2 linked regions of the Arabidopsis thaliana genome follow. The protein of the gene in region 1 purifies or fractionates together with the protein of each later gene. This does not show direct contact. Each region holds a gene or a part of one and is shown in the gene's direction. Other genes may lie near its edges.

Region 1 (5,495 bases):
TCCGAAGTCTTGTCATGTTCCTGACTTCTCATCAGGACAAGTCACATTAACTATATGAGCCCACTACTACGTCGTCTGAATGATAAAATGGTTATATGTTATGTATCTCATATTGTATGAATATGGTTTAATTCTTATAATGTACTTATATGCTAACTTTATTCAACTACGAACTACGAGTGTAAGATTTTTATTTATCATATGTTGAATATTAGTTCAATGTGCTTTTGATTGGTAACTTTAAGACTACGTAAAACTTATAGCAGTTAGGTATTTTATATCAAGCATAAAAAAAAAAGTCAAATAAGGGACGAACTTTGAATATAGTGACACATGTTTTATCAACATTTTTTAAAAATAAGACAAGGAAGGATTTTTGTTTTACATTTACTCTAGAGGTTTCGAAATTTATGACAAATTAAAGAAGTGCAATTTGTGTTGATCCAACAAATATTGCCGAAACACATCGGCAACTGCGTCGAACTCAAAAATCACATTCGCTTTTCTACCTAGAACAACTCGAGTAGCCACATTCGTTCACAGGAAGAACTGGACAATTAAGGTTCTTACATTTTGGTTGATGACTTTCATGCCACTACTTAATAGTTATGACCTCCATGAGTAATTATTTTGGTTCCGCCATTGATTGTAAGTCCACAGAAAACTTCACTGAGTTTATGTTTACTTCTCCTCTTCCATTTAGTTGAGATCATCAATTTAGCTATACTCATATGGATTAACTTGGACTAATCAATCGGAAGCCTTTTTTTTTTAATGTAATGTCAAATTATATTTAAAAGAAAAATATATACGGTTTTACAACTTGTGCATAAGAATTTTGAAAAAAGAAATCAAAAGAATTTTGAAAATTTTAGAGAATAATTAATCGAAATTGTGCAACAAAAGGTATCTAGCTCCGAGATTGAATCCAGTGGAATAACGTTATAACGCTTGTCACCTGAAAGTCGAATAGCTGAAATCTGATTTCGAATTTGTTTATCCATCCATCCTGTGATACGCTGAGCCGGTTGTGAGGTTTCACCATGTTTCCGGCCAATCAATCGGAAGGCTTATTATGATTTATGAGGTAAAAATGTTCAAAACCTGCTTTTCTCCATTTGCTTTATAAAAATTCGAAAATTTATTTTCTTAAATTCCATTTACTGTACTTCTTACTGTTCATGTAAATAAAATATTATATGAATTAATCAATAAAATGATAAAATCATGTATTAACAGGCGAGTTTCTAATTTAATGCTCCATGAATATGTTAAATCAATCTGTTTTTATTTTTTATTTTTGTTTTTGTTGATTTTCTTCTTATTTTGTTTATATTTTTTATTATATATCAAAATATAATTGATTTGACTGACGAATATGACAATCACGCTAGATCATCCACATTAGTTAGAACCCCTCATGGGTTTCTTTAAAATTAAAAGAAAAACTATATTTATGATCTAATTATAACATTACAAGTGTTAAGAGAGATGCTTAATGAGAGATCATTGTATCTTCCCCAAAAAAAACCTCTCTCACTCTTTTCTCACAGTCACAATTCTTTTTCTTTCTTCAATAATTTAATAGAGGATACCACCTCCAATGGAAATGCTCTAATTAGAATTTTCAAAAAGTATCAAATATATTAATTAAGATTTTACATCATTCATTTTAAAAAAAATTATAGAGTAGACTTTAGCAAAAAAAAAACATATTACTCACCACCATATCATTATTTTCTTAAACCAAATTCTGGACAAACTCTATCAATTAAAATACAGCTACAACACTAACCAATTAAATAACTTAAAAAGAAAAATCAAACTAATTTATAAGACGTTGAAACATTAAACAAGTGCGAAATTCTTTTAAAAAATTGTAGGTGATGGAGACCAAACAGTAAAAACTTACACCTCAAATTTGAATTTAAAGTGTTTGTGTAAAACAGTTTTTAGTTTTACCCCCAACAAAATCAAATCAATCAACAACAAAACTAATGATGCTAAAACCTATAAGAGCATTCACAACTGTGGAACTCTCATTTTAATTATTAAAATATTATAAAATAATGAAAAGAAAGTATGGAAAGAGACAATGGGAGAGAATCGTCAAATAAAACTCTCTCTAGAGAAACTTTGAGCCATATGAGAGAACCTCTACTTTACAGATGTTAAGATTTTATTGGTAAAAACCAATTATTTTAATTAAATAATAAAATTATAATAAAAATAATATTTTTTATTCAATACATACCCATTTTTGAAAACCCACCATTGTGGATGTTCTAATGGGTTTAAATCCCTTTACCACCAAAACGACATCGTTTACTTAATGACTTTAAACTTAGCCTAAAACGACATCGTTTTACGTAATGACTTGCATCTTTCTAACTGAGCAGAAGCCGACAAACGACACACGACGTCACCACAATTCTCAACTTTGGAGCTGCAGACACAATTCCGGCGACGTTTACGATTCTGACACCGCCGGTAAGGGTTAAAATGGATTCTGATTCTGATTATTGTAGATTCGTTATCTAAAGATTCGAACTTTCTGAACATTTCATCGCAAATAGCTCATTCATAGAATTAGAGATCTCTACATTGCTTTGTAATAAGAGATCGATCGTTATGTGAATCATTGATAATTCTTAAAGTCTCAGACTTTTAATTTCCTCTTTACCAATTGGAACAGAACCCACTTGTAGCAAATGGAAGAAGTTCAAAAAAGAGTTGCCTTTATACTAATTGATGGTTTGGGAGATGTATCAATACCAAGATTAGGTTACAAAACACCATTGCAAGCAGCAGAAATACCTAACCTTGATGCAATTGCTTCAGCTGGAATCAATGGTTTAATGGATCCAGTTGAAGTTGGATTAGGTTGTGGTAGTGACACTGCTCATCTTTCTCTAATGGGTTATGATCCAAGAGTGTATTACCGTGGACGTGGCGCGTTTGAATCTATGGGTGCAGGATTAGCTATGTCACCTGGTGACATAGCTTTCAAGGTTTTTGATTTTGCTTTTACTTGTGTATTATTCTTTGTTGTTTATAGGTTTTGATCAATGTGTCATTATGCAGTCAAATTTTGCAACTTTGGATGAGGATTCTGGAGTTGTTGTTAGTAGAAGAGCTGATCGACATTTCGAAGAAGAAGGACCTATACTTTGTGCTGCTCTTGATGGAATGAAGCTTCCATCATTCCCTGAGTATGAAGTTAGAGTCAGGTTGTTAAATATGTTTCCTTTCGTCTTTATGGTTTCGGATTTCGAGTTTTTGACTAAAGGAAGTTTTTGGTTGATAGATATGCAACGGAACATAGATGTGGAGTGGTTGTAAAAGGGCCAAAACTTAGTGGGAATATATCTGGAACAGATCCATTGAAGGATAATCGTTTGCTTCTTGAAGCTAAACCTTTGGATGAATCAGAAGAAGCTAATCACACAGCCAAAGTCGTGAACGAATTATCCCGGGAGATATCGCGCATTCTTGTTTCCCACCCGGTTAATGTAAAGAGAGCTGCACAAGGCAAGAATATTGCTAATCTTGTTCTTTTAAGAGGCTGTGGTATTCGAATCGAGGTTTGTGTTCACTGTCTCTTACGAATGCTTTTAATGAATCTATTTGCTCCATCTACTTATCTGTTATGGGTTTTGTATATAAAGGTTCCTCCTTTTCACGAGAAGCATGGTTTGTGGCCGTGTATGGTAGCACCAACGAAGATTATAGCCGGACTTGGTATGTCCCTTGGTATTGATATTCTTGAAGCTCTGGGAGCCACTGGAGATTACCGGACGCTTCTCACATCGAAAGCGATTGCTATAGCGAATGCGCTTTCAGCTCCTTTGAATCCCTGCCCAAATGTCTTTGAACCAGCAGAGGACGGGCATAAACCGGGAAGGTCAGATGGTTACGATTTCGGCTTCCTTCACATTAAGGTGAAAACATGTCTCTGTCTTTTAACACAACATAAAAAATTTCATTCTGATTCTAAATTATTCGTGCAGGCTATAGATGATGCAGGTCATGACAAGGCTACATTGTTCAAAGTTCGAGGCTTGGAAGCTGTGGATAAAGCGATACGTCAGCTCGCTAAGCTTCTATGGCAAGCTGAATCTTCTTCAAATTACCAGTATTTCTTGTGTGTGACTGGTGATCATTCTACTCCAGTTGAGTATGGAGACCACAGCTTCGAGCCTGTCCCATTCACAATGTGCCGGTTAAAGGACTTTGTGAGAGCGGTTGGAGGAGAATCAGCTCTATTAGAGACATCTTTAGACCCTTTTCCACTTCCAACGGATATAGCATCCAGTGAAAATGTCATCGGAAAAGAAGAAGAAGACTGTGGGAGGAGGGAAGCTTCTCTGGCGATTAGTGGAGATTCAGTCTCAGAGTTGAACGAGATTGCAGCTGCAAGAAGATGTCTTGGCCGTTTCCATGGCGGTGAAATGATGGGAGTTATCACCAAGTTTCTGAAGTTGGATGTATAAATCAAATTTCATAAAATTTTGCATTTTTTCTTTGAAAATTTGGATTTTGGAAGTGTAATAAAAAATTATCAACTCTAACAAGCTCAGGAAGTTGAAAAAAAAATGTCTAACAATGTTTGGAGGTGTAGTTGCATGTTAAAGTTTACACTTTGGCTCTTAAGATATACACATGAAATTTCCTTTTTACATTAGCTCGACGAGAAATTAAAGATATCGAAAAAGAAGAATTTTTTTTCTCTCGTGACTCAATTGCCTACAAATTTATAAAAAATGATGGTCACTTAGTTAATGAAGACACTATCTTTACTAGATCTAAACAATCTGTAATGAAAATTACTTCACGTTAATGAAAGTCAATCATGCATTTCATTGTCCAAACGAATGCTTTTACATTTCAAGCACATAAGTCAAGATTTATCGAAGGTTGACAGCTCCCATAATTGGCGTGTCTTCATTTGATAGTGTATAAAACCATCATATTCCTGAGAAATCATCATTCCTTTCCAGGAACCATAAATGAAATATATGAACCTGTGTTTCTGTAACTATCTCCATTTGAGTTAAAGTCTACGAATTGGCTTCATTTTACTCTAATTGGAGAACCTCACTTGGGTCTTTATCCACATTTTCATAAAACTTCTCATTTCAGGCTTTCCAAATGTATTAGATATTTAGATGATCCAAAAAAACTTGAACTATGGGAGCCACATAATTCAAAGCAACTTGAAAATGTTAGTTAATTTATATTGAAGCTCTCTCATCATTCTACAAATAAAATAAAACATTAAATAAATGTGATATATATACTTATTAATTATATTGTCTACCTACCAGACTAACAAGCTTACCAGTCCACCACTGTGTTTGGTTTATATGTCGAGAAAAAACAAAAATCTATAATAAAGAAAATAAAAGTGACTGGAGACCGATAAAATAAGTATCCCAAGCGAAAAGTCCAAAACCCAAAATCAGACCAGTAATATAACTTGACCGTTTCTTAAC
Region 2 (5,217 bases), on another chromosome or scaffold:
TATGTGTAATATCTTAGTCAACGATCCTCAGAAGAAAATAGTTCCTAACCTGCTGATCTAAATAAGTATTCGAGACCTTAAAGGAATTTCTCAACTAAAGGTATTGGGAGTGGACGAAAGACTTAAATCTTTTGAGGTCAAACACATAGCATACCTGGACCATCTCACTGATGAAGTTCAATCCTCCAGGCCCAATGATAGATCCTGCTAGCAAATATCCAGTTATCACCTACATAAGCACAGAATGAGTCATAGCTATCAGAAAACAAATGCATCATACTGAAACATAAAGTCATATTGATAGAGAATAAGAGTAGCACGAAAATCAGACCGGCTGTCCAGCACAAGCAAAGGCGATACCACCACAAGTTGCAGATACAATGACAACCACCAGGTCTGATATCAGTCTACATGCCATAAGAAGCAGAAATCAGATGACTGATTGAAAATTATAGTCTTTTTTTCAAGAATCATGTTTAAGACCAAGAATCTTGCCTCAAGTCTAGCTGCAATACTGGATACTTTGATTTGGAATTGGATATGATGAAGACATTGTCCTGACACAAGGCCAAAACTTCCATGTAAGAAGTAATGCAACAAATCCAAACTCAGTCTTCCTGTGTAAAAACTTACTTTTCGATCAATGAGAGTTGGAGTGTCCTCAGCTCTGTTATCATTGTTCAAGTTGAAAACATCATGGAGTTGAAAACGCCTATGGAAAATTAGATAACGCTTAATACGTCTTCAATTCCAGAACATCAAAGAAGGTCATACAAAGGAAGATTTAGAAATATAAACGATAACTATAATAGAATGGTGTACTTCTCCTCTTTTGTCTCATTTTTCTTGGTCGACTTTACTCGGGCTACAGTTTCCAGAACAGCCTGATCACCACAAGGTACAACAACCAACCTCACATTCAGATACTCAAACTATGCAATTAATGAGAGAAATGATCAAATCTTAAAGCAAGCCTTATACTTTCAAACAAAAGACTTGGGAGTGATTTTGACACTGCTTGAATTTCCTAGAAATTGTCCAACTTTGAATAATAAACAGAAGCAAGTATATACTAATGATTAAAAGTTAAAACAAACCTGTTGTCCAGCTACACTGTTATTGAAGCTTCCAGGATCAGCCACTGCCACAAATATAACAACATTGGGAGATAATATATCGAGTAAAAGTGTAAGAATACAAGATAAACACTCACTATCCATTTCAGGAAAACCAATCACAAAAATGTATCTTGTTTGTGTAAATATTCTCGATCTAGAAGAAGCAAACTATTCCACATTGGGAGATCCCCAAAAAGGAAAGACGAATGTGGGATCAATCTAAAGTTCCGAACTTTCAATTGGATCACGGATCCAATTCAGGATCTACCTAATGAATTCTAGTTGTTCAATGGCCATTTCAAGCTCCATAAAGTAGCAAAAAACACTAACCTTCATTCTGGTCGCTTTCATTGAACTCTTTTTCAAGAGCACGATCGATGATGTCGGCGAAGCTACCTTCCTTAGGCTTAACAAGAGAAGAAGAAGAAGAAGCGTTGAGAGATGCGACGGAAGAGGAGGAGTTGGCGACTGTTTCATCCAGTAGATCCGAATCAGATATAGCTCGAGGAGACGCGACGGAGAAGCAGAGGAAGAAGGAGAGTAAAAGTAAGAGGAGAGCTAGCTGTTGAGAGGAGAGCGAGAATCTTCTTCTTCTTCTTCCTTCCACCATGGCAGAACAACTGGTTCTGGATTAAACCGGACTGGAGCAACGGTCTAGCAGAAGAACCGGAACCGTCGCGAGTCTCTCGATCGAGGACGAGGAGTGGGCAAGTGGGGAGAGAGGGAAAGTGAGATTGTTGCAATGGTCAACAAACAGTCCATACATAGGCTCTCTACATATAACAAGACTATACTGTACAATTTACGACATATCTGTATTAAAATTAATTATCGGATTTTTTTCTTTTTAATGTTGTGTTGTTTCTTTGTAATATACAGCAACTGCACCATGTCCATGTGGTAGATTAATGAATGGAATGGGTCTTTCTTGGTTATTTGATTTTCGATTAGGACAAAACATCTTCCATTTCTATAAAACTTTAGCTCAATGTCTACGCCATACTTATTATTACTCAATGCGACTCTTTTTCATGTAATCATTTAAATCCAATAAAAATAGATTTCACTGTATTTATAATTCTGTGAAATTTGTAAACGTGTTTTTTTAGTTCATGGTCCCCAAAAATTATCCAAAAAATCGCTGTCAATTAAAAAATTAAAAACAAAAAAAAAGAAAAATTATATTATATATATATATATATATATTCCCCTCACGACAAAAAAATATATATATTCGCTTCTGTTTTTTTCTTCTCGGACAATTCGTCTTTTGACAACAATGGCGGACAAATCAAGCAGATCACTGATATTGTACGGAGACGGCTTGGCTCGATTTGTCGATCCGTCAAATACCAACATCCATTCTCTTGCTTCCGTCGCTACTTGTGGCTTCTTGAGCCTTCCTAATGCACCTCCAGGTCTCTCTTTCTCTCTCCCTCGCTATCTCTTCATAAATTTGGTTACTTTCGTTTGATTCGTCTTGAATTTCAGTCAAAATCGCTACTTTAAGGGTTTTCACTTGTTAGGATTTCTTAGTGTTGATCAGAATTGAACCATATCGTTTGGATTCGATTGTGACTTTTTTAATAGTCCAATATGAAACTCCAGTATACAATTGATCTAACTGGCCAACTTAGAGTTCTTGTTCAGTGTCAATTGACCCAATTGCTTAAGAAACAAAGATTTGAGATCACTTGTGTTACATTGCCCTTGCTTTGACATTTTGCTATTGATCTAACTCACTCTGCTGTTTCAATATTGCAGAAACTGAGAATGAAAGAATAGTTCGAGAATTCTCCCACTTGCTGGATGCATCCGAAGCTTATTCCATAGCTGTGAGATACTTTACTCTCTACTATATTAATTTCTATGTGAGCCGAGTTTTGTGGCAAAATATTTAACAATCTCAGTGTGTTTACATAGTTATTCACGAATTAGAGATTAACGAACCATGATCTGATTTCTTAATAGAGTGGACTAAAACCAAAGGGAAATGGAAATGATATCTCAACTTTGGCTGAAAGGTTATACTTTTCACTTATCTCTATAGTTTTATACTCTCTTTGATAATCAATAGCTGGTATATCCATATGTTGATGCTAGTATTTACTTTAATGCCAGGTTTATGGGACTCAAAGCTGCTTTAGTTACGGACAGTTCTACTCTGACTTCTTTCGGAAAACTGATTGGCTTAGATGTATTACAGCTTAGTGAAATATGCCAAGAGAGTGATTCCTTTCCTTCTGATGCCACATCATCTAAACTACTAAAGCTGCTTGGATTTGAAGGAGGAAAGTGCTTGGATGTGAACCTATATGACTTGGTTTTTGTTCATTTCGGGGTTGATGAATATAATAACGGGAACAACATGGGAATTCTCGACTCTTTGATTGGCAGTATTATGGGAATGGCTCAACCAGGTTCAGAGATTCTATCGCGGTTGCATCTGTCTGTCGTTCTTAGCTATGGTTCTGTCACAGACAAAGATGTTTCAGTTTTTCCAATCAAGACTCCACAAGAAGACATTAACCCGGCATTTATAGGACTTGTCCCGCGTCAGAGCTACACCATGCGAGGTGAAAAGACACGGGATGATGTTCGGTAAGAGATTCGATGAATTTTTGTCAAAACCAAAAGAATTTGATTTGAACTTTTCTGAAATCATCATTTCGTTCTTGACGGGTTTGGTCATTCTTGCAACCTACAGGCACTACTGTCCTATGTTGGTAGCTCAGTGGCAGCATGGGGTGACCCGGAAAGACTTAGTTGATACCTTATCATTTGAAGCTCTCAAAAAGGTATGGTTTCTGTTTAATGCAAGTTCTGCTATAATAAACGTCACGGCTTCTTGTCTCAAGGTTAATTTTTTTGTTGTTTCTCTCTTTTCATCATAGCTCTGTGGAAATCTTGTTATACCGGCTGATCGGTTCATCCACGAAGTTGCTTTCAAACTTTGGAAAGCCCCAAAATATGGAGCTTAAGCAAAAGTAATCATCTAGTCCGGATGAATTCATTCTCTTTCCGCTGTTGAAGTTGTTTGTGGATTGATCTCAAATTTGCTACCTTTACATAAAGGAAAGACACAAAAGCTGTTCTGTTTCTTCTAGATTATGTATCGTGTTATCCATTTCATACACACAAAAATAGAGATATAACATATATCCTGAAGTGGTCATGGAAGTGTAAAGATTATGGATCCTCTTTTACAGGGTGGTAATTAGTACCGCCGATCCAAACCATTCTCAATTCATCTCCATAGAGCCTTTGGCCTTTATTGTCTCTTTTGATCCTCCTTAGATATAGCCCGTCTCTCTTAACCACCCAAATGCACTCTTCCTCATCCGGATTATCACATTGCCACCTGAATAATCTCTCCCCGGCAAAAACCGTTGCTGTCTGACCAAATGGCGAGCCAAACGCGGTGAAGAACGTGCACTCAAAGTATGTGTAGAAAAACGGTATCTTAATAAATATTGGCTTGAACGACCAGCTTTTGGATTGGCCTGGTTTGAGAGCATGCGTGCCCAATTTGTTATTCGACGACCAACAGTTAATCGCGAGGCTACGATTCCGTCCTGGGTATATGGAGATCTCGTTTCTTACCTCGAACCGGGCTGCTGATGCGGTGTATGCAAAGCACGCTGATGCGATGAGAAGGCACCATGTGAATGCGGTGGCTAATCGGAATCTTGATCCGATCTTGAACCCAAACCCCATTGCTCTATTGAACATTTCTGTTTTGGTTTTTGAGGTTTTATACAAACGGGAGTGTTTGTTTAACAACAACAGAAAAACGGTAGTGGTTTTGGACGTTTTGTTCGTTGAGCTTTCTTTTCCCTTTTTTCGTTTTTAGTTTTAGTAAAAAGTTTAACAAATAATATTCGGTTTGGTTTCAAACAGTTTTATATTGATTGAAAAAATCTAGTAAATTGAAATTGAATGTTAAATTTGTTTTTCTTTTCTCTTTGTTATATTTACTATTTGGTTTGGATTAAAAAAAATCTCTTAGGTTCATGTGACTTTTCATAGTAGTATTGGACTAATAGTTCTTTAGTCTTTTAAGTCCTCCCTAGACCCATTTACGATACTATATCCAAAG

Evidence for each region. The genes of interacting proteins can lie anywhere in the genome.
Region 2: the proteins of AT4G09520 (region 1) and AT5G11810 fractionate together in Arabidopsis thaliana (co-fractionation; one large-scale study listed by BioGRID). This does not show direct contact.

What each region holds. Positions count from the first base shown.
Region 1 is NC_003075.7:6,023,968-6,029,462, reverse strand, and holds AT4G09520 (Cofactor-independent phosphoglycerate mutase), read left to right. Parts: upstream 1-2,339; 5' UTR 2,340-2,490; intron 2,491-2,695; 5' UTR 2,696-2,711; coding exon 2,712-3,011; intron 3,012-3,084; coding exon 3,085-3,230; intron 3,231-3,307; coding exon 3,308-3,584; intron 3,585-3,668; coding exon 3,669-3,941; intron 3,942-4,010; coding exon 4,011-4,493; 3' UTR 4,494-4,659; downstream 4,660-5,495. Other genes in the region: AT4G09530 (SAUR-like auxin-responsive protein family), read left to right, coding at 1-50.
Region 2 is NC_003076.8:3,806,342-3,811,558, forward strand, and holds AT5G11810 (rhomboid family protein), read left to right. Parts: upstream 1-2,336; 5' UTR 2,337-2,397; coding exon 2,398-2,536; intron 2,537-2,882; coding exon 2,883-2,953; intron 2,954-3,089; coding exon 3,090-3,142; intron 3,143-3,239; coding exon 3,240-3,719; intron 3,720-3,825; coding exon 3,826-3,916; intron 3,917-4,012; coding exon 4,013-4,099; 3' UTR 4,100-4,307; downstream 4,308-5,217. Other genes in the region: KEA6 (K+ efflux antiporter 6), read right to left, coding at 155-229, 332-407, 496-557, 634-712, 823-884, 1,098-1,141, 1,449-1,728; AT5G11820 (Plant self-incompatibility protein S1 family), read right to left, coding at 4,308-4,850.